Arabidopsis thaliana: one gene and its partners. The protein of the gene in region 1 interacts with the protein of each later gene in a pairwise test. Each region holds a gene or a part of one and is shown in the gene's direction. Other genes may lie near its edges. The genes, in order: RGL2, BLH4, CHC1 and KNAT3.

Evidence for each region.
Region 2: the proteins of RGL2 (region 1) and BLH4 interact in binary tests that used the Arabidopsis thaliana proteins (3 or more experiments, as listed by UniProt).
Region 3: the proteins of RGL2 (region 1) and CHC1 interact in binary tests that used the Arabidopsis thaliana proteins (3 or more experiments, as listed by UniProt).
Region 4: the proteins of RGL2 (region 1) and KNAT3 interact in binary tests that used the Arabidopsis thaliana proteins (3 or more experiments, as listed by UniProt).

What each region holds. Positions count from the first base shown.
Region 1 is NC_003074.8:818,823-823,581, reverse strand, and holds RGL2 (RGA-like 2), read left to right. Parts: upstream 1-1,929; 5' UTR 1,930-2,302; coding exon 2,303-3,946; 3' UTR 3,947-4,245; downstream 4,246-4,759. Other genes in the region: AT3G03460 (mediator of RNA polymerase II transcription subunit-like protein), read left to right, coding at 1-513.
Region 2 is NC_003071.7:10,107,189-10,114,861, reverse strand, and holds BLH4 (BEL1-like homeodomain 4), read left to right. Parts: upstream 1-1,856; 5' UTR 1,857-1,976; exon of another isoform or gene 1,977-2,083; 5' UTR 2,084-2,125; coding exon 2,126-3,082; intron 3,083-3,849; coding exon 3,850-4,241; intron 4,242-5,243; coding exon 5,244-5,460; intron 5,461-6,437; coding exon 6,438-6,911; 3' UTR 6,912-7,153; downstream 7,154-7,673. UniProt on the Arabidopsis thaliana protein: Transcription factor that establishes leaf shape by repressing growth in specific subdomains of the leaf. Negatively regulates knox homeobox gene KNAT1/BP expression.
Region 3 is NC_003076.8:4,567,941-4,572,978, reverse strand, and holds CHC1 (SWIB/MDM2 domain superfamily protein), read left to right. Parts: upstream 1-1,984; 5' UTR 1,985-2,105; intron 2,106-2,514; 5' UTR 2,515-2,534; coding exon 2,535-4,066; intron 4,067-4,210; coding exon 4,211-4,283; 3' UTR 4,284-4,499; downstream 4,500-5,038. Other genes in the region: MPL1 (Myzus persicae-induced lipase 1), read left to right, coding at 61-201, 299-409, 513-656, 753-793, 880-959, 1,046-1,141, 1,215-1,537; AT5G14160 (F-box family protein), read right to left, coding at 4,512-5,038. UniProt on the Arabidopsis thaliana protein: Involved in transcriptional activation and repression of select genes by chromatin remodeling (alteration of DNA-nucleosome topology).
Region 4 is NC_003076.8:8,734,072-8,739,108, forward strand, and holds KNAT3 (homeobox protein knotted-1-like 3), read left to right. Parts: upstream 1-1,872; 5' UTR 1,873-2,136; coding exon 2,137-2,817; intron 2,818-3,092; coding exon 3,093-3,213; intron 3,214-3,301; coding exon 3,302-3,486; intron 3,487-3,563; coding exon 3,564-3,695; intron 3,696-3,773; coding exon 3,774-3,910; intron 3,911-4,004; coding exon 4,005-4,044; 3' UTR 4,045-4,530; downstream 4,531-5,037.

The sequences.
Region 1 (4,759 bases):
TGGGACAACAACATTGCAGCCAAAGTTGCAGAATTCACGGCGACATTTGAGGGACAAGTCCAAGCTTTCGACAGGATAATTCAAAAGAGAAGCGATGGAGACAGAGTTGAGGAAAGGCTGATGATGGAACAAGTTTTGCTCAATGACGAGAGAAACGCATGTATCCAGCTGGATAGGGAGATGAAAGCTCAGGATGCGAGGTTAAGAATGGCGGCTTTGGCTCAAGCAGCAGGACAAGCAAGGGCAGAAGAGTCTCAACAGTCTCATGCCGAGATGATGGCTCGTAACCCGTTGAGAGCTAATGCGATTGGGAATCATGGAGAACAGGGGCGTAACATGAACCCTAATGAGATGATGTTGCTGATGAATGGATGGGGGAACAATAACAACAACAATAATAGCCAGAAGGAAGAGAAGGAACCATTAGAAGATTTCTTGAATGATGAAGAAAATGAAAATGGTGAACATGAGAAGTGGCGAAGAAGTGGGGATTTTGATTTGAATATTCGGTAAATGAAACCATGACTCAGATTTTCTTTTGGTTTGGTTATCCAAATACTCGTAGTTTGGTGATGTAGTTAAATCTTGAAAGGTAGTGAATAAGGTGAAAGATAAATTGACGATGATGAAGTGTTCTTTGAGGTGGACTAGTTTTGGCGAGTGAGCATGACGCGCTTCAGTTTCGATTCTCTCATCTTATGAATTTTAAAAGAGGGATCCTAAATAAAAAGTAACAAATAATGTAAACCACAAAAGCAAAACAGGCCAATTTAGACACAAGTTACATCAAATGACTAAAAATGGAAAAGCATGCACCATGTGACTTCTAACACAACAACGAATATCATTTTCTTGTAGCTGCGATTGGGACCATACCTATATACAATCCCCACAACATTTTTCTATAATTTATTTTCTTATATTCCAAAAGGATCTTTTACGGTTTCCAAACGATACCACTATTCGAAAAAACCTTAATTATTATGCATGATGATGATGTGTGTATGTAAAACTGCTGAAAGATATATGCAATAAATTAATGAAAGTAACCTTATGTTGTGGACGTCTCGTAGGCTATGTCTTCCTCTACGTGGCACATGAGAAGTTGCTCATGTGTCCCCCTCAAATACTTGAGCTGTAGACTGTAGTTTTATCTCAGTGAAACAATACATAGCTAAAAACATATTTGTTTATCATTATGGTAAAAAAGAATTCACATCACCAGAATGTTAGAACTTGGTCAAGAAAAAAGAGAGTAATAGTTGAATCATATTTGTGTCTGATTATACTTTTCTTATGGACCAATAAAATAATTAGTTATCTAATGTTGTCTCAGTTTAATATGATCTCTAAAAACTGATTACTCTATGACATTAAACCTGCTGGTAACAAAAAATTGTTTGCTTTGAAAATTTGTATTTTTATCCAAACACTAACAACTTAGGATTCTTGCTTCATGATTATACACTTTCGACTGAGGAAAAGATTATATACTTTCTACCAAGATATGAGAAAATCAAATTTGTATAATTCAATATTTTCAGTTGTCATTAGAAAAGAGTTGATTATCAAATGTCAATTATTTAGTGAAAAAATAAACATTATCCAACATAAGGAAAAAAACTACACTTAAGTGCCATTATCTTAACACGCATTTGGTGCCGTTTGGGTTTAAGAACAACGAAGTCGTAAGCGAGAATATGACAATATTCAATGGCATTTAAGAACAATTAAGTCGTGATCGTCTATAAGACTATGACACTATCATTAAAAGACACTTTAATCACTTCACAACTTAAAAACATCTTACCAACAAATATGACGAAAGCACACTACAACCTAAAAGTTATAAAGTTCCATTGGTCAAAACTACTAAACAGATTTAGAAATCTCTACTAAACAGTTATAAAGAAAATTATCCATTACTACAAAAAAAAAGGAGTAAATTTCTTGGAGTTAGGAAAAAATGAAAGAGAGAAACAGATGCCAAACAATAGTGGCATGCTCTGATTCTTATCTCTTAAACACACTTCACAGTCACTTCTCTAATTGGACCTCTCTCTCACTCCCTCGTGCTTTATATATTGCTCCTCTCAGAATCTCCTTTCTTTCCACAAAAATTGTCTGTAACCAAATCACAACAAAGACCCACAAAATTCTTTTTTTTTTCTTTTTCAAATCCCATTAATAAAAACCTTACCAACCCATGAAGTAAAGTAAACTCCTTTCTTATAAACTCTCTTTTGTTCTTTTTTTTTCAACTTCATCAGTCTCTTAACTCACCATCACAAGAACAAGAAAGATGAAGAGAGGATACGGAGAAACATGGGATCCGCCACCAAAACCACTACCAGCTTCTCGTTCCGGAGAAGGTCCTTCAATGGCGGATAAGAAGAAGGCTGATGATGACAACAACAACAGCAACATGGATGATGAGCTTCTTGCTGTTCTTGGCTACAAGGTTCGATCTTCTGAGATGGCTGAAGTAGCACAGAAGCTTGAACAACTTGAGATGGTCTTGTCTAATGATGATGTTGGTTCTACTGTCTTAAACGACTCTGTTCATTATAACCCATCTGATCTCTCTAACTGGGTCGAGAGCATGCTTTCTGAGCTGAACAACCCGGCTTCTTCGGATCTTGACACGACCCGAAGTTGTGTGGATAGATCCGAATACGATCTCAGAGCAATTCCGGGTCTTTCTGCGTTTCCAAAGGAAGAGGAAGTCTTTGACGAGGAAGCTAGCAGCAAGAGGATCCGACTCGGATCGTGGTGCGAATCGTCGGACGAGTCAACTCGGTCCGTGGTGCTCGTTGACTCTCAGGAGACCGGAGTTAGACTTGTCCACGCACTAGTGGCGTGCGCTGAGGCGATTCACCAGGAGAATCTCAACTTAGCTGACGCGCTGGTGAAACGCGTGGGAACACTCGCGGGTTCTCAAGCTGGAGCTATGGGAAAAGTCGCTACGTATTTTGCTCAAGCCTTGGCTCGTCGTATTTACCGTGATTACACGGCGGAGACGGACGTTTGCGCGGCGGTGAACCCATCTTTCGAAGAGGTTTTGGAGATGCACTTTTACGAGTCTTGCCCTTACCTGAAGTTCGCTCATTTCACGGCGAACCAAGCGATTCTAGAAGCTGTTACGACGGCGCGTAGAGTTCACGTCATTGATTTAGGGCTTAATCAAGGGATGCAATGGCCTGCTTTAATGCAAGCTTTAGCTCTCCGACCCGGTGGACCTCCGTCGTTTCGTCTCACCGGAATCGGACCACCGCAGACGGAGAATTCAGATTCGCTTCAACAGTTAGGTTGGAAATTAGCTCAATTCGCTCAGAACATGGGCGTTGAATTCGAATTCAAAGGCTTAGCCGCTGAGAGTTTATCGGATCTTGAACCCGAAATGTTCGAAACCCGACCCGAATCTGAAACCTTAGTGGTTAATTCGGTATTTGAGCTCCACCGGTTATTAGCCCGATCCGGTTCAATCGAAAAGCTTCTCAATACGGTTAAAGCTATTAAACCGAGTATCGTAACGGTGGTTGAGCAAGAAGCGAACCACAACGGAATCGTCTTCCTCGATAGGTTCAACGAAGCGCTTCATTACTACTCGAGCTTGTTTGACTCGCTCGAAGACAGTTATAGTTTACCGAGTCAAGACCGAGTTATGTCAGAAGTGTACTTAGGGAGACAGATACTCAACGTTGTTGCGGCGGAAGGGTCCGATCGGGTCGAGCGGCACGAGACGGCTGCACAGTGGAGGATTCGGATGAAATCCGCTGGGTTTGACCCGATTCATCTCGGATCTAGCGCGTTTAAACAAGCGAGTATGCTTTTATCGCTTTACGCTACCGGAGATGGATACAGAGTTGAAGAAAATGACGGATGTTTAATGATAGGGTGGCAGACGCGACCACTCATCACAACCTCGGCGTGGAAACTCGCCTGAGTCGCGGCGGTAGAGATGACTCGCCTGAAACCGGGAAAAACAATAAATGTTTTAAAAAATTAGGAAAAGAGACCGTAACTTTAGTTATGTTTTTACTTTTTAACCCGAAGTTTTTGTGTGTTTAACCTTTTTGCCTAAATGTTTACAACTTTATCTTTTTGGACCTTGTGCGTATCTTTGAGAGTTAAGAGAACGAGTAAAAAATCTTGTATCGTAGATCGAGCTAAGTAGTTTTCAATAAATGGAAGGATAACGATTCTGTATGTTTTTTACTTGATCCAATATATATGAATTTATTTAAATGATTTTGTGTCATATATTTTTCAAATTTGGACAGTTTCGTTGATAACATGGGAAGTGAACGTGAGCGTTTCTGAAAAGGCGGATCCAAAATGTACTTTCAGTTTCGAGGACTGATGTCAGCCTTTGTTAAAAGATTTTCTTCGAAATATATTTTGGTACATTTTTGTTTTCGAAACAGATTGTTCTTTTCTCTCTCTTTATTATGGGTTTGATGAGGTAATATGGATGTCAAATTGATTTTGACGTACGTTATCAACTTTTAAAAATATGCGAGGTGAAATTATTCTACTTTTATGAGATCATAAGCCTCAAATTCAATGGTCTTCTACCTAAGAGTTGGTGGATCTAAATTTTGGGGGGTTTCAGTTTTGAAAACATATATGAAGTTATTCTTTCTGGAATTCAATCTAGACGTATAGTCAAGAAGGAAATTATAAAACGACATTAACGTAGGGATTTTGGTCGGATAGGTTCGGATTATATATAGAACACTCCAATGGCACAATAATA
Region 2 (7,673 bases), on another chromosome or scaffold:
TCTGATTCTGGCATGATAGATTCCAACATAAGTCTCCATAGATATATATACAAGTGGGCTTTTCACTTTTGCTTTCAAGCCTTCCATTAGTATTTATCCTATTGTGGATTTATAACCTACATAGCATATATCCAACATGTCTCTCTAACTGTTTGTGGGATGGATACGCACGTCAAATCGATTTTGGAAATTTTTTTTTTTTTAATATTTAATATACCTAGGATAATGTAATGACTAATGATACGTTAATTTTAACAGAAAATAATTGTGTTTGTATCTATACAACGTCATTATAATGTATGGCTGAAATTAATTTTATAAGTATAGGTTTAGAAAAAGAGATAGCTGAAGGTGTAGTTGTGAAACTACAGAACCATAAAATTTCGTTTTTTCCATGCATTAGTTGTGTGTGGATGGTTTACATATTACAAACATCGATGATGGTGAAAGGCTATCGGCCGACCGTGAAATCGTGCAGAGGATTAATCTTTGGATTTTAGTAAATATTTTGTAAAGATGATTTGGAGGTTTAGTCATCAGGCATGTTGTCATAACATCAAGGTTTTTTTTAAAACAATGGTATTTTTAAAAATATTATTGTTAAAGGGATATTTTTTAAAATGGGTAATCTAAAAAGCAATTTTAAAAAAATTTCAATAATCTTTGAGTGATAAAGTTTTATTAATTAATATAGATATAAAATAATATTTTGAAAGTTGAGAGTATCGTTTAACACAGAATGAGATATTTCCTAATCAATTAACACAAAATGAAACAACCTCGATTTGCAGCTAGATTTTTGCTTTATCATATCAAGCTTGAGGTAATCTCTAATGCTTTTTTTTTTACGATTTCGTGATGATAGATGTAATATAGCGGTTTCTGCAAAGAAATTTAAAATAATTGATTTAGCCACATATGTTACCAAAATGTAATTATAATTTGATCGATTTTTATGTATTTCATTTGTTTCATATTATAATTTGATCGATTTTTGATATATCGTATGATTAGTTAATTGAATAAATGTACATACATGAAAAAGTAGTCTAAAATGACATAGGTCTCCCCTAAACAACAAATACACACAATATTAAAGAATAAAATTAGAGAGCATCATAGGAATATTATATAAGTATTTAATTTGTCAAATAAGAATATTTTATTTTATTTTATTTTGGCTCGAAATAAGAATATATTGAAGCACAAAAATATGTGGAAGTATTTATGGTGGTGGTTTGGTTCATTGAGATATGACCTTTGGACTCACCTTATCTTCCTATTCTTTTTAGTTTGCTTTCATAAATTAGTTTCCAAATTAACTCCTTTAAAATGTTGATATCAGCCGACATTTCCGTGATAAAAAGTTTTTTTTTCTCTTATAAATAAATAATAACGTTGACAAAAAAAAAAGACAAGAAAAAAAAACAAGGATAATTTCGTAATTTCAGGATGTGTATAGTTTTTTTTTGTCTTTCCTCCTCATCGTTATTGATATGAAGAAACCTTTGCCGATTAAAATTAAAAAGAAGATGTTTATAAAAATACTTCATTATAAAAAAATGATAAATCAAGATTTTAATAACAAAAAAATATTAAAGAAGATTGGTGGGTTAAAAAGGGAGGCGATGAAGAAAGAACAGCGACCTCTTCTTCTCTCTTCCCTCTCTCTTCCTTTCTCTTTGGGAGAGATTTTTTTATAAGTTTTTGGTTTTGCAGAATTTGCTGAATAAAAACTCTCACTAACAGAGAAATATAAAATAAAAAGAGTACTCAAGAAAAAGAAAGCTAGAGAGAGAGGTATAGAAGAAAACGATAGCTATAAGCTCATCATCAATCATTTCTTTAATTCTCTGCAACTCCAAGGTACTTCCTCTCTCTCTCTCTCTCTCTCTCTATACCATATATGTAGATGATGACCGAAGCTGAAAGTGAGAACCTTAAAAGAGTTACAAGAAAGAGATTGGAGAAAAACTGTATAATACCTAGTTGACTCCTCTCTCTCTCTCTCTCTTTCTTTTTCTTGTATTTTTTTTTTGTATGTGTTATATAAGATTCTCTGTGTATGTCTGAATCCTTACAGGATCCAAGAGCTTTGGAAAAAAGATATAATGAATAACAAGATATGGGTTTAGCTACTACAACTTCTTCTATGTCACAAGATTATCATCATCACCAAGGAATCTTTTCCTTCTCTAATGGATTCCACCGATCATCATCAACCACTCATCAAGAGGAAGTAGATGAATCCGCCGTCGTCTCCGGTGCTCAAATTCCGGTTTATGAAACCGCCGGAATGTTGTCTGAAATGTTTGCTTACCCTGGCGGAGGTGGCGGCGGTTCCGGTGGAGAGATTCTTGATCAGTCTACTAAACAGTTGCTAGAGCAACAAAACCGTCACAACAACAACAATAACTCAACTCTTCATATGTTATTACCAAATCATCATCAAGGTTTTGCTTTCACCGACGAAAACACTATGCAGCCGCAGCAACAACAACACTTTACATGGCCATCTTCCTCCTCCGATCATCATCAAAACCGAGATATGATCGGAACCGTCCACGTGGAAGGAGGAAAGGGTTTGTCTTTATCTCTCTCATCTTCATTAGCCGCAGCTAAAGCCGAGGAATATAGAAGCATTTATTGTGCAGCCGTTGATGGAACTTCTTCTTCTTCTAACGCATCCGCTCATCATCATCAATTCAATCAGTTCAAGAATCTTCTTCTTGAGAATTCTTCTTCTCAACATCATCACCATCAAGTTGTTGGACATTTTGGTTCATCATCATCATCTCCCATGGCGGCTTCTTCATCCATTGGAGGGATCTACACGTTGAGGAATTCGAAATATACGAAACCGGCTCAAGAGTTGTTGGAAGAGTTTTGTAGTGTTGGAAGAGGACATTTCAAGAAGAACAAACTTAGTAGGAACAACTCAAACCCTAATACTACCGGTGGAGGAGGAGGCGGAGGGTCCTCGTCATCGGCCGGAACAGCTAATGATAGTCCTCCTTTGTCTCCGGCTGATCGGATTGAACATCAAAGAAGAAAAGTCAAGCTACTATCTATGCTTGAAGAGGTAACGTTTTCACTCAATATTTTTTCTCTAACCAAACTAATTAATTTTCTATCAAACTTTTAATGAACCGTTCTAATGATTGAATTGATCAAACAACCAATTTCATATCAATCGCTACAAAATTTTATTTTTCTTCGTGATTTTTTTCTTCTTATATAATTAATTCTAAATCGACCAATATTTTCATAAACTCTATATATGTTATTTTCTTAAAAAAATAAATGTATAGAGAATGACCGACTGGTACAAGAGCACGACACATGCTCTAGTTGGTAAAGCCTGATTACGCAATCCTACTATCACTTATATAATTTTTCTAACTAATATCATTATATGGTGTTATATGGTCTAATTTGATATATTAATGCATATTTTGTGTCACGCGTTTGGTGGCATCGCTTAATCAAATTTAACATAAGAAATTAATATATGATTGATTAAGTGATTTAGTCTTCACAACCATAAATTTTAAATTAGAGTTTCCTTCTCCATATAAGCTAGCCACCTTCACTACGTAACCAAAACTAGTCCTTGAAGTTACTTCATTATTTATCTTACAATTTATTTTGTAGTTGACATTATCTTCTTTCAAGAATTTAGTATATGTTCCAAGATAGCATAAATTGTTAGCAAGAGAAGATAACACATTGAAGTATCTAAACGAACTAATCACTTGAGGTTTATATTTTATCTTAGAAATTGAGCTAATAAAAAAAAAACAAGAACTCATCTATGTATAGTTCATTTATTTAAAATTTAATTTGTAGGTGGACCGACGGTACAACCACTACTGCGAACAAATGCAAATGGTAGTGAACTCATTCGACCAAGTAATGGGTTACGGCGCGGCGGTTCCGTACACGACATTAGCTCAAAAGGCAATGTCTAGGCATTTCCGGTGTTTGAAAGACGCGGTAGCGGTTCAGCTTAAACGCAGCTGTGAGCTTCTAGGGGATAAAGAGGCGGCAGGGGCTGCATCCTCGGGGTTAACCAAAGGGGAAACGCCGCGATTGCGTTTGCTAGAGCAGAGTTTGCGTCAGCAACGAGCGTTTCATCATATGGGTATGATGGAGCAAGAGGCATGGAGACCGCAACGTGGTTTGCCTGAACGCTCCGTTAATATCCTTAGAGCTTGGCTATTCGAGCATTTTCTTAATCCGTAAGTCCATTTTCTAATCCCTTAATAATACTTACCTACTCTTATTCTTCGATAATACTAATCTTCTTGAATGTTGACTATACATTATAAAATGTAGACTACCATAATGCATTGATACCAAGACTTTAACTAATATACGTTTATTAAACTTAAGTTATGAAAGTGACAAAAAAATTTTTTTTTTTATAACTCTTTTGTTATGCGGGAAGATATATTTCTATTTCAATCAAAATTAAAAGCTGCTGGCTTTTTTAGAAAACCAAAATAATTTTTGTAAAATGAAGTTCCGTTTCTTCACTGAGTTTGATTATTTTATGTTTATTACTACTAATAAAAATTTAAATATCAAATATTTTTTCCTTTTCATACCACCCATAAGAATGGTCAGCTAAGAGTACTCCAAAATAACAAGGGTAACAATTCATTGACTAGGAGACTTTCATGAAAACTGTATGTTTATATTTATATTAATGTAGGTTATATTGCATGGCAAATTAAAGGGTTTAAATAATTAATGCAACAAAAGAAGTTTGCAGAGTGAGATCGCAAACTTTTATGCTTTGGGATCATAATAGCATCCTAAGGGTTTCTCTGTCTCTGCCTAACCTTTCCTTTATAGTTTTTTTTTCTTTAATTTGCTTTAATTCATTCCACATACTATTATCAAAAGAAGTAACAATGCCATTAACATAACTACAAAAAAATAAGTCTCAGATTTGTCAGTGGTACAGTTTCATTGGTATATTGTCCCTTAAGAAAGACAGAAATCAAAAAGAGGAAAAAAAAAATCTAAAAGCTGAAAAAAGCAATTTCTTCTGTCATTATTCATCAGTACTTTCTCTATTTAATGTCTGCAGAATTTTACTATTTTGTTGTTAGTGAAGTAAAGAAGAGAAGAGTTGTACAGATAAATATTTTGCTTTATGATGAAAAATAAGTTAAGATACAAAAATAAAATAAAATGCTTCTATTCTGAAATCAGCTTTTTCTTTTGTCCCTTAGATTCTCACGCCCTTGTAAGGAGAAAGTTTGTACCTTTTCTTGCATCTACTTGATTGTGTTTTTCCTCTCTATCTATATTCAAAAAAAGAGAAAAGAAAAAAATTATTGGTTTAGGGTTCTAAAGATTGTGAAGTCATTTTCTGGTCTCTTTCTCAGGTACCCAAGCGATGCTGATAAGCACCTCTTAGCACGACAGACTGGTTTATCCAGAAATCAGGTCAGCCTTTATCTATATAGATACATACATCAATATTTTTTTAATATAATATGTTTTCATACTTATCATACAAGAACCCTTTTAATTACTCATTTACATATATGTACTTAACTCACAATTTACCATATATATCAATCATTTCATCATGCAAAATCTGACATGAGTGGCTTCATGTCTATTCTCTTGCATGGATTTTCAATATCACGAATCATTTGTTTTTCTTGGGGTTCGTTTTCTTCATTAAATACATTATCTACACTTACACACACAAGGATATATAAAACATAGGAGAGAGAGATGTAAGTATTTCTCAAGTACATGAAAGTTTGAAGCTTTCATTTCAATGTTAACTAGCAGACCTCTAAGTCTTGTACACATTAATTATTTACATCACAAGTAGTTTATTACACTTGGCTTCAAATATCCATTAGTATATTTCAACCTTCAAATTGTTGTTTTAACATTATTATGTTTCATGTGTTCAAATAAAAAAACATTATTATGTTTCAAATTTTTAATTTAGAAATTTCATCTAAGCCTTTCAGTAAATACATAAGTTAACATCAAATCAAAATTACTTGAAACATGTCAAAAGTTATCTTGTTCTTGTAAGAATATAATGAAAAATTTAATATATATCTTCTTTTTAATAGATGTCTCAAAGGAAACACATGTATCATAATTTTTACTCCTTTCCTATCATTTTAACTTAAGGTTTTAGCTATCCTATTTTTTTTGTTTCATTTGTTTAAACTAATTTTCTTCACAGTAAATGACTTATTATTTTAACTTTACTTAATATAAAACAAATGAAGTATATACAAAAACAATCAAAACCATATTTAATGTAAAAAGGAGTATTTCACATTTCATTGAAAAGTTTTTTTTTCCTTCTAAAAGTTAAGTTTCTTTTAATATTATAAACTTGTTAAGAGTAAATTGTGATTAATATTAGTTCATATGTCTCGTTTTTTCAGGTGTCAAATTGGTTCATAAATGCTAGGGTTCGCCTATGGAAACCAATGGTGGAAGAGATGTATCAACAAGAAGCAAAAGAAAGAGAAGAAGCAGAAGAAGAAAATGAAAATCAACAACAACAAAGAAGACAGCAACAAACAAACAACAACGACACGAAACCCAACAACAATGAAAACAACTTCACTGTCATAACCGCACAAACTCCAACGACGATGACATCGACACATCACGAAAACGACTCTTCATTCCTCTCTTCCGTCGCCGCCGCTTCTCACGGCGGTTCAGACGCGTTCACCGTCGCCACGTGTCAGCAAGACGTCAGTGACTTCCACGTCGACGGAGATGGTGTGAACGTCATAAGATTCGGGACCAAACAGACTGGTGACGTGTCTCTTACGCTTGGTCTACGCCACTCTGGCAATATTCCTGATAAGAACACTTCTTTCTCCGTTAGAGACTTTGGAGATTTTTAGTCTTCTTTGTTTCTCAATTTATTCATCAAAATTTATTATAGTGAATTTTATTTTTTTGGTTTATCGATATATGTTTTTAGTTTCTTCACATACTTTTAAAATTTCCTTTCTTCTTTAGTTTTTTTTTCTGTCTTTTCTGTCGTAAGAAGAAGAGAGATATACATATATCAAGTGAGATCTAGCTACCAAAGTTCCATATATAATTATGCACATATTTTTATTTTATTCATGAAACTTATATCCTTACATTTTTGTATAGTTTTGTTCATACTAATTTTTTGTTCATATTAATACCCCTGCCAAATTACTCTAAATTTTGTTTTAGATTATGATTATGTACATATATTTTCTGGAAACTAAATTTCGTGTAGCATTTATTGGATTCTTCCATTTGATTTTTGCTAATAAGCGACAACAGTCTTTTAGGAAAGCGCCAATAAGTCACATCACTTTCCTTGTAATATCAAATTAATCATCTCAACTAATCCCTACTTACTACAACTATGTGCTCCTTAATTTAGTAATAGCAACAAAATATACTTGGTACGTACCCGATCGACTTATTAACAATTGTATTATCTTCAGTTTATAGTAAAATAGTTAAGAAAAACGTGACATATTTGTTTAAAAAGAAAACAAATAATCTTTTGAGTTAGGTTCTTTAGTTTTTTTCTCTGAGAAACAATTATCCAAAACTCCAAAGGTTTGGTTACATGTCATATTGGGGGATATGTCAATCGAGACGGAGACGTTTTAGTTCTA
Region 3 (5,038 bases), on another chromosome or scaffold:
TTTAATTTCTTATAGTTTACATTACTATGATAGTCAAATAATCATGAGTTAAATGTGCAGGATGGGATGTCATGGCTGTTGAATCCAGCGGATCAAAATCTGCCGTTGATTTTGGCGGATCAAGGATTCGATGTGTGGATGGGGAACACAAGAGGGACTAGATTCAGCAGAAGACACAAGTACCTTAACCCTTCTCAACGGGTCTGGTTCAGTGAACCACTGTTTTAACCAGTAGATTACGTATATATCTTTACTAAGGAAACTGATATTTAACATCGTTGGCACGTTGTGGACTTAGGCTTTCTGGAACTGGACGTGGGACGAGCTTGTGAGTTACGATCTGCCTGCTATGTTTGACCATATCCATGGCCTAACAGGCCAAAAGATTCACTACCTCGGACACTCTTTGGTGGGTCCAACGTTATCAACATATTTTTTCTCTGATTTTTTTCTTTTTCTTATAGTAATATATCTTCTCATAATAGAATGAAAAATGAAATGGAAATTGTCAGGGGACGTTAATAGGATTTGCTTCGTTCTCAGAAAAAGGGTTGGTGGATCAAGTGAGATCGGCGGCGATGTTGAGTCCCGTTGCTTATCTCAGCCACATGACCACCGTCATCGGCGATATCGCCGCAAAAACCTTCCTCGCCGAGGTCCCTAGCTTCTCCCTTGTAATACCCTTTTTTATTCTTATACAAATATGTGCCTACAGTTATGAAAATAACTTGTTTATCGTCTTTCAAAAATAGGCCACCTCTATTCTTGGATGGCCAGAGTTTAACCCGAAAAGGTAAATCTTCACCCTTTTTTCTTAAAATATGCTTGTTATTATTGGCTTGATTTGATTACGTAAAATAGTTAAAACAACATTTGCAGTGGATTAGTAGGGGATTTTATAAAGGCTATATGCCTTAAAGCGGGGATCGACTGTTATGATTTAGTCTCTGTTATCACTGGTAACGCTACAACTAAAAAAGTCCACCAATCTACCATTGATGAATTAATTACATATATTAATTAACGTAATTTTACAAAAACATAGGAAAGAATTGCTGCCTTAACGCATCAACCATTGATCTGTTCCTTGCCAACGAACCTCAATCTACTTCCACCAAGAACATGATCCACCTTGCTCAAAGTAAGTGAAACAAATTCCCATTTTTTAAAAATTATTTTATAAACCTTAAATTGTTCAAATTATTTATTTGTAGCGGTAAGAGACAAGGAGTTGAGAAAATACAACTATGGAAGCAGTGATCGCAACATAAAACATTACGGTCAAGCGATACCACCGGCATACAACATATCGGCGATCCCACACGAGCTTCCGCTTTTTTTCAGCTACGGTGGTTTAGATAGCCTGGCTGATGTGAAAGACGTTGAGTTTCTCCTTGACCAGTTTAAGTATCACGACATCGATAAGATGAATGTGCAGTTTGTGAAAGACTATGCTCATGCTGATTTCATCATGGGTGTTACTGCCAAAGACGTTGTTTATAACCAAGTTGCTACCTTTTTCAAACGACAAGCTTGATAATATTATTACCTTGTCATTAGTTTATGTAATTGCATGTGCCCATATTCTTCAATTGTTTCCCTCTAAACAAAATGGGCAAAAATAAAATTAAAATTTTTATGAAAAAGTATACCAGTCTACTAGCTTCTAATTAAAATAATCCCAATATTTAATTTAGATTTTTTTTTTCTTTAATCTATAAACAATGGGGCAACCATTATCTAATTTACCCTAGTTTTAGGTATATTTAAGAAAGAACACTAAAACTACAGATTCGTATTTGACAAAAAAAAAAAAAGGAAACGAAAAACTATAGTAAAACAAAATTATGTGGAATGCTTTTCTTTTTAATTTTGTCGTCAAATTGTATGTGGATTTGTCGTTGAAAAAAAAACACATGGATTAAAGTTGGGCCAGTTTGATATAACTCAATGTGGGCTTTAAAAATACGGGTCGGGTCTTAACCCGGACAGTAAAATAGATAGCTCCGGTGGGCATTTGTTTTTGTTTTCTCTCTCGAGTCTCGACAACTGAGAAGCAACGGAACACCGGTGAATCCCGGAAAGAAGGTGAATCAAAAAAGCAGGTACCAAGCTGCGAATCTTCGTTTTTTTAAGGAATTCTCGATCTTTATGGTGTATAGGCTCTGGGTTTTCTGTTTTTTGTATCTCTTAGGATTTTGTAAATTCCAGATCTTTCTATGGCCACTTAGTAGTATATTTCAAAAATTCTCCAATCGAGTTCTTCATTCGCATTTTCAGTCATTTTCTCTTCGACGTTGTTTTTAAGCCTGGGTATTACTCCTATTTAGTTGAACTCTGCAGCAATCTTAGAAAATTAGGGTTTTGAGGTTTCGATTTCTCTAGGTAACCGATCTATTGCATTCATCTGAATTTCTGCATATATGTCTTAGATTTCTGATAAGCTTACGATACGTTAGGTGTAATTGAAGTTTATTTTTCAAGAGTGTTATTTTTTGTTTCTGAATTTTTCAGGCTGATAGGTTTATATAGCAATGTCTGGTAACAACAACAATCCACAAAAGCCTCAAGGCTCTGCGCCTTTGCCTTTTGGGAATCCTGGGATGGCCTCTGCATCTGTTCCTGGAAACCAAGGTTTTGCTCAGTCTCATATGGCAGCTAACTTTCAAGCTCAGTTTCAGTTCTCTCAAGCTCAGGCCCTAGCCCATGCTCAAGCACAGTCTAAAGTTCAAGCACAACTGCAAGCTCAGTTACAAGCTCAAGGCATGACGATGAACCAAGCACAAGGTTCTCCGGGGATTGGTGGCTTGGGTCCTTCTTCTCCTTCTTTGACGACTCCTGGAAGTTTAAACATGAAGAGATTCCAGCAGAAACCGCCGATGCGACCTCCTGGTGCTCCTGCGAGTAACAACACTATCTCCCCAATGAGAACAATGGAGTTAACTCCTGCTGCTCGGAAAAAGAAACAAAAGCTTCCAGAAAAGTCATTGCAGGAGCGGGTGGCTGCAATCTTGCCAGAGTCTGCCTTATACACACAACTTCTGGAGTTTGAGTCTCGGGTTGATGCTGCGTTAACTAGAAAGAAAGTTGACATCCAGGAAGCCCTTAAAAACCCTCCCTGCATACAGAAGACTCTTAGGATCTACGTTTTCAACTCGTTTGCTAACCAAAACAACACGATCCCTGGGAATCCTAATGCTGACCCGCCAACATGGACTCTTAAAATTATTGGTAGGATACTGGAAGATGGGGTGGATCCCGACCAGCCAGGGTTTGTTCAGAAAGCAAACCCATTGCATCCCAAATTCTCGTCTTTCTTCAAAAGGGTTACAGTTTCCCTGGATCAGAGGCTGTATCCTGAGAACCCATTGATCATATGGGAGAATGCTCGATCACCTGCTCCTCAGGAAGGCTTTGAGATAAAGAGGAAAGGGAATCAGGAGTTTGCTGCTAGTATACGGTTGGAGATGAACTACGTCCCTGAAAAGTTCAAGCTTTCTACTGCATTGATGGATGTTCTCGGGATTGAGGTTGAAACCCGCCCAAGAATCATCGCTGCAATTTGGCATTACGTTAAGGCGAGGAAACTGCAGAACCCAAATGACCCCTCTTTCTTCAACTGTGATGCTGCACTTCAGAAAGTTTTTGGAGAAGAAAAGTTGAAATTCACTATGGTCTCTCAGAAAATATCTCATCACTTGTCGCCTCCACCACCTATTCACTTAGAACACAAAATCAAGCTCTCAGGAAATAATCCGGCCGTATCAGCATGTTACGATGTGCTAGTGGATGTACCCTTCCCGATCCAAAGAGATCTGAACAATTTGCTAGCCAACGCAGAGAAGAACAAAGAGATTGAGGCTTGTGATGAAGCAATATGTGCAGCCATAAGGAAAATCCATGAGCATAGGAGGAGGCGGGCATTTTTCTTGGGGTTCAGCCAATCGCCAGTTGAATTCATAAACGCCCTGATCGAATCTCAGAGCAAGGATCTAAAGGTCGTTGCGGGAGAAGCCAGTCGAAATGCTGAGAGAGAACGTCGATCAGACTTCTTCAACCAACCTTGGTAAGCTAATCATCTAGACTCTGCTACTCTGGCCTTTATTCGCACAGATGATATGTATTAAGAGTTGTAAAATGTTTTTTTTTTTTTTTGGTCAAAGAGTTGTAAAATGTTTCTGAATCATAATTTGGGGTAAAATGTTTGCAGGGTCGAAGATGCAGTTATACGTTACTTGAACCGGAGGCCAGCAGCTGGGAACGATGGGCCAGGGAGTTGGTGAGTTTCTTGACGATACAAGTCTCTTCATCTGTTTGAGCATTTTTAGTAGAAGATATTGTTGAGATTAGTCTGGTTTAAAAGTGAACTAGTGTATCTGTAATCTTGTGTATGTTGAAACATTACTACTTTATATAATTAGCTTTGTTTTGTAGCCTTTGCGTTAATGGTTAAGTCATGTTTTTATTAGCAAAAGGAAAATAACATTGGCATTATTAAAAAAAAAAAACACTTAAAGTTGAACAAAAACGAAAATGTTTGGAAAGAGTATCATTGTGAAGTAAGAAGTGGGGAAGAGCCAGCGAGCATTAGAGAATGGTCTGGAGGAGATAGAAGAAGACGAAAGGCGTTGAACCTTCTGGGAGGAGAGATTGAAGACGAAGACATCCTTTTGGCTAGATGGAAGACCGCTGAAATAGGTGGAGTTTCTGGTAATACCTTGGATATCGGAGGATGCTTGCACGGTGATACCTAGATCCAAGATCACGGCCTGGTCGCCACGAAAAAGCCAGGAAAGGTCACGACGTTTAAGAACGCAGCCAACCATCAAAAAATCTCCAGAGATGGTGATTACTATGTTGGTCTTCCAGTCAAGATAGTCTGTCCAAATTGTATCATAAGGGCTAAAAGATCCCAAGCGGAAGCGAAAGGGATAGAGCTGAACATGAGCAGTTTTTGTTACAAACTTCAAATCCGAGATTCCGATGCTACCATCCTCATAGTAAATGTAAAGTTTGTGGTCCTTGAGGGCAATATCAC
Region 4 (5,037 bases), on another chromosome or scaffold:
AAAAACGGTATGATCCGTTGACGGTTTTATCCGCCCCAACCGCCATAACCATTCAAATCCTAAATAAAAACGGTTTTGATAATATAAGAACCAGCCCAAAGATGAAGTTATATATGTGACTATGTTAACACACATTTATAGTATGAGTTAACCTAGACCTATTTGCGTCTCACTTCTTATTAAATGCTAAAAATTTACCAAAAGGACGCTATTCATCACAATTAAGTTTAAATCTCTAAATTAATTGATCGTTTAAGTTTTTAACCAAACTCAAATAAATAAAAAAATATACGATAACTTTTATTGTGACGATCGAATATACTACCATCAAATTTTATACCAAATTTCTGTTTCGTAGCATGTACGAAAATTTTCACTCCAAAAAAAATCTAAAAATTATATTTACCAAAAACTGTGATTTCAGAAAATTATGTGATTTTAAAGAACCAGTGATTTCTCAAATTATATTATATGAAATGATTATTATTATTTTAAAAAGGTGAAAGGGTGAAGCAAAAAAATAGTGTGCATAAACAAATAAGCTAATTTGTTTTCTGGTACTTAGGTCTTTTAAATCCATATAAATAAATTCTTAAAAGATTGTTTTATTTCAAATCTTTAACCTAAAATTGTAACTTTAAATTCATGATTAAATTTTTTGTTTTCAATAATTTCTCGTAACTTCATTACATAAAACGAGAAGGATTTATAATAGGTAAAGGCGTGAAGCAAAAAATAATTGTATAAATAAATAAGTTAAATTTGTTTCATAGTGCCATAAAATTACACTAACATCTGAACGTGAAACGCACGCGCTTCTTCATATCATAGATACGTTGCGTCTTAAAACACAACACGTAGCAACTCTTTTTAAAAAGGAAAAATACATTTATTATTCCCAACAATAAAAAAAATCAAACACAGTCGAAGAAGGCAACGACCTTTCGCAGCCGTCAGATCTTAATAAATACAGTCGCCACTAAAATTTAACGACATAGATCGAACCATGACGACCTACTTTCTTTAATTAATTTTCTGTCGTGACCTAATCTTCTATTTGTTGTTTCATTAGTCACTTACTTTTATATTTATTCTTTCTTAGGTCTATGTGGACCAAAGTGATTGGAAAAGAAAAAAAAATACATTTTTGTCAACCATAACTAAATTATCTTATTTTCTCAAATGCACTGTTTATTATGTAGCGTACTGATTTATTAAATACTTTTGCTTTCTATGGTTAATTTATGATGTCGGATTTTTATCTTTCCCCCAATAATAATATCACTATAGAAGAAAGTTTACAAATTCTTAGTTAAATCAAAAAAGATTTTATCAGTTGATTTGATTATACGAGGTGACATCAATTTTTGTCTTCTTTAACAAAAAAAATCAATTTTTGTTTTCTTTAACAAAAAAAATCAATTTTTGTCTTACTTTTTAATTAGCATTTAGAAAAATATTTAACAAATAAAAGTTCTCATAAGCGATTTTTAAAAAAATGTTTTGTTTTTACTATCTTTCAGTTTTTTTTTTTAAATTAATTTTCTAAAAAAACACATATATTAAAAAACATATTAAAACTAATTATAAACATATTATCTTTTGTGATTTATATTTTTTTATAATTCTAAACCAATGATATTCAATTATTTATCTTAAAATTAAAAATTTATCAATAATAACTAATAAATAATGTATAGAAAATTTAAAAATTATTTTTTTTAAAACAATTTTTTTCCTCTAAAAAATTAAATAATAAGGAATAGAGAAGGAATATTTTTTTATCTAATAAATTCCATATAATAATTCAATTATATTGATAAATAGGTTGCAAAAAATAAGAAAGAATAAATATGAGAATAAATGGTCATCTCTCGATCTCTCAGCTCTGTGCAACTCTGAACACACCCACACATATATACTCAGATACATACATACACACCACAAAAACCAATTATTTTCCAATTTTAAGAAAAGTTTCTGTGTCTTTTTTTTTTTTTTTGGTGATAATTGAAACATATGAAACAATCGTCGTCATAGAAGCAGCAGAGATTCACCTTCTTTCTTTATCTTTCCCTCTCAGAAACAGGAAACAAAATTCAAAAAGAACAAAAAAAAAAAGGTCAAACCAAAACGATGGCGTTTCATCACAATCATCTCTCACAAGACCTCTCCTTCAATCATTTCACCGACCAACACCAACCTCCACCTCCGCAACCGCCTCCTCCTCCTCCGCAACAGCAACAACATTTCCAAGAAGCACCGCCTCCTAATTGGTTAAACACAGCGCTTCTTCGTTCCTCAGATAACAACAATAACTTCCTCAACCTCCACACAGCCACCGCTAACACCACAACCGCAAGCAGCTCCGATTCTCCTTCCTCCGCCGCCGCCGCCGCCGCTGCTAACCAGTGGCTATCTCGCTCCTCCTCTTTCCTCCAACGAAACAACAACAACAACGCTTCCATAGTCGGAGATGGGATCGATGATGTCACCGGAGGAGCAGACACTATGATTCAGGGAGAGATGAAAACCGGCGGTGGAGAAAACAAAAACGACGGCGGAGGAGCTACGGCGGCGGATGGAGTAGTGAGCTGGCAGAATGCGAGACACAAGGCGGAGATCCTTTCGCATCCTCTTTACGAGCAGCTTTTGTCGGCGCACGTTGCTTGTTTGAGAATCGCGACTCCGGTTGATCAGCTTCCGAGAATCGATGCTCAGCTTGCTCAGTCTCAACACGTCGTCGCTAAATACTCAGCTTTAGGCGCCGCCGCTCAAGGTCTCGTCGGCGACGATAAAGAACTTGACCAGTTCATGGTATATAAATTTCAGATTTTTTTGTTCTATAATTTTATAATTAACGATTTCATAATTATACTTAGCACAAATTTTAATAATACACACCGACTTAGGTTTCTTGATTTTTGAAATCTTAAAATATTAAAATCAAGATTTGTGTTTTTAGGGATAAACAAGACTAAAATCCCAAAAAAAGAGCTTATGATATAATAATGGTCATGATGATGAAGAAAATACAAATTTTGTTCTTTGTGTTTATTGTGTGTTTGATTAATGTTTTTTTTATGGTGTAGACACATTATGTGTTGCTACTGTGTTCATTTAAAGAGCAATTGCAACAACATGTGCGTGTTCATGCAATGGAAGCTGTGATGGCTTGTTGGGAGATTGAGCAGTCTCTTCAAAGCTTAACAGGTGAGAAAATGAATCCTGTGATTAGCTCATGAATCCAATAGTTAGTTTTATGACATTGACAAGTTTTGTGTTTTATTGGTGAGATTAGGAGTGTCTCCTGGAGAAGGGATGGGAGCAACAATGTCTGACGATGAAGATGAACAAGTAGAGAGTGATGCTAATATGTTCGATGGGGGATTAGATGTGTTGGGTTTTGGTCCTTTGATTCCTACTGAGAGTGAGAGGTCGTTGATGGAAAGAGTTAGACAAGAACTTAAACATGAACTCAAACAGGTAATAATCAACAAACTTGTTCTTTGAACTAGTTCATGAACTAACAATGTAGAGGGCTTTGTCTTGTTGATGAAAAGGGTTACAAGGAGAAGATAGTAGACATAAGAGAGGAGATATTAAGGAAGAGAAGAGCTGGGAAGTTACCAGGAGATACCACCTCTGTTCTCAAAGCTTGGTGGCAATCTCATTCCAAATGGCCTTACCCTACTGTGAGTTCACTCATCTAACATCTCTTTATAACTTCTTCAAGTTCATTCATTGAGCCATAACCAAATATTGGTTTGTAGGAGGAAGATAAGGCGAGGTTGGTGCAAGAGACAGGTTTGCAGCTAAAACAGATAAACAATTGGTTCATCAATCAGAGAAAGAGGAACTGGCATAGCAATCCATCTTCTTCCACTGTATTGAAGAACAAACGCAAAAGGTATTATTATACTTTAATATAGTCTTGTAACATAACCGAAAAACTTATGGATCGGACTCAAAGAAGACTGAAACTTTTGTTTGTCTGATGAAAGCAATGCAGGTGACAATAGCGGAAGAGAGCGGTTCGCGTAGAAACAACAAACATATGATGTGAATTGGGGAGGTGGAAGATGGGATTTGAAAGCAGGGTTTTAGGGATTTAAAGTTGAGAATTTTATGGAGGAGTTTGGATTATACAGAGAGAGGGGACAGTATTAGAAAGTAACTTTTTGTGCAATTACATAGTAACGTAGTTTGGTTATGTGATTATGCCCATATATTTTATTAAGTAGCACACAAACCAAAAAGAAAATATGAAAACTGAAGATGCAGGCTTTTGTTTAATGTTTTTTGTTTGTTTGTCTGCATGAGTTTTTTTTTTATGAACCATCAGATAATCATCATCATCATCCATAATATATCTTGTGAATAAAGATAGTGAGAGAGGAGAACATTGGGATGCACAAGTTTTCTTAATCTACTAGTATATGTTACGCATTGACCAGGTGCATATGTTAATTTGTATCGCACCACTTGGTTAGCTTAATCTATGTGACTATTATACAGTATATGTTTCGCATTAACCGTACTTAACCCATCTTATGATTCTTATCCGCTTAGTTCGTAGTATTTATTGCGATGTCACATTCCAACTCGTGATATTGGCTTGATAAGTAAAAGACATTATACATGGTAGATGACGACAAAAAATAAAACATACCCCATCTTACATAACGTAGCTTGCTGCGTACTTTTGTAATTGTAATAATTTGAAACGTGTTCTTTTTTCTAGTCAAAATTGTTTGTTTATCCTCATCTTGTTGTTTCGTTTGTCACGTTTGTGATAGCCACAAGTTACTGTAAGTTTTCGGCGAGATTTTTCTATCGATCACGGAGAGATTCTGCACACATTAACAAAGATAATTAGAGTGTCCTTAAGTATTTTGGTCGCCTCTCTATTAGAGGACCATACAAAGTTCAAAGACTAGTCTCATGAGAAGCCCATTAGTACATTAGATTAAATCTAGGAAAGTAGATTCATATAAGTAGTTTTGTAATGAACATCAAAGTTGTTAACTTAGAGAA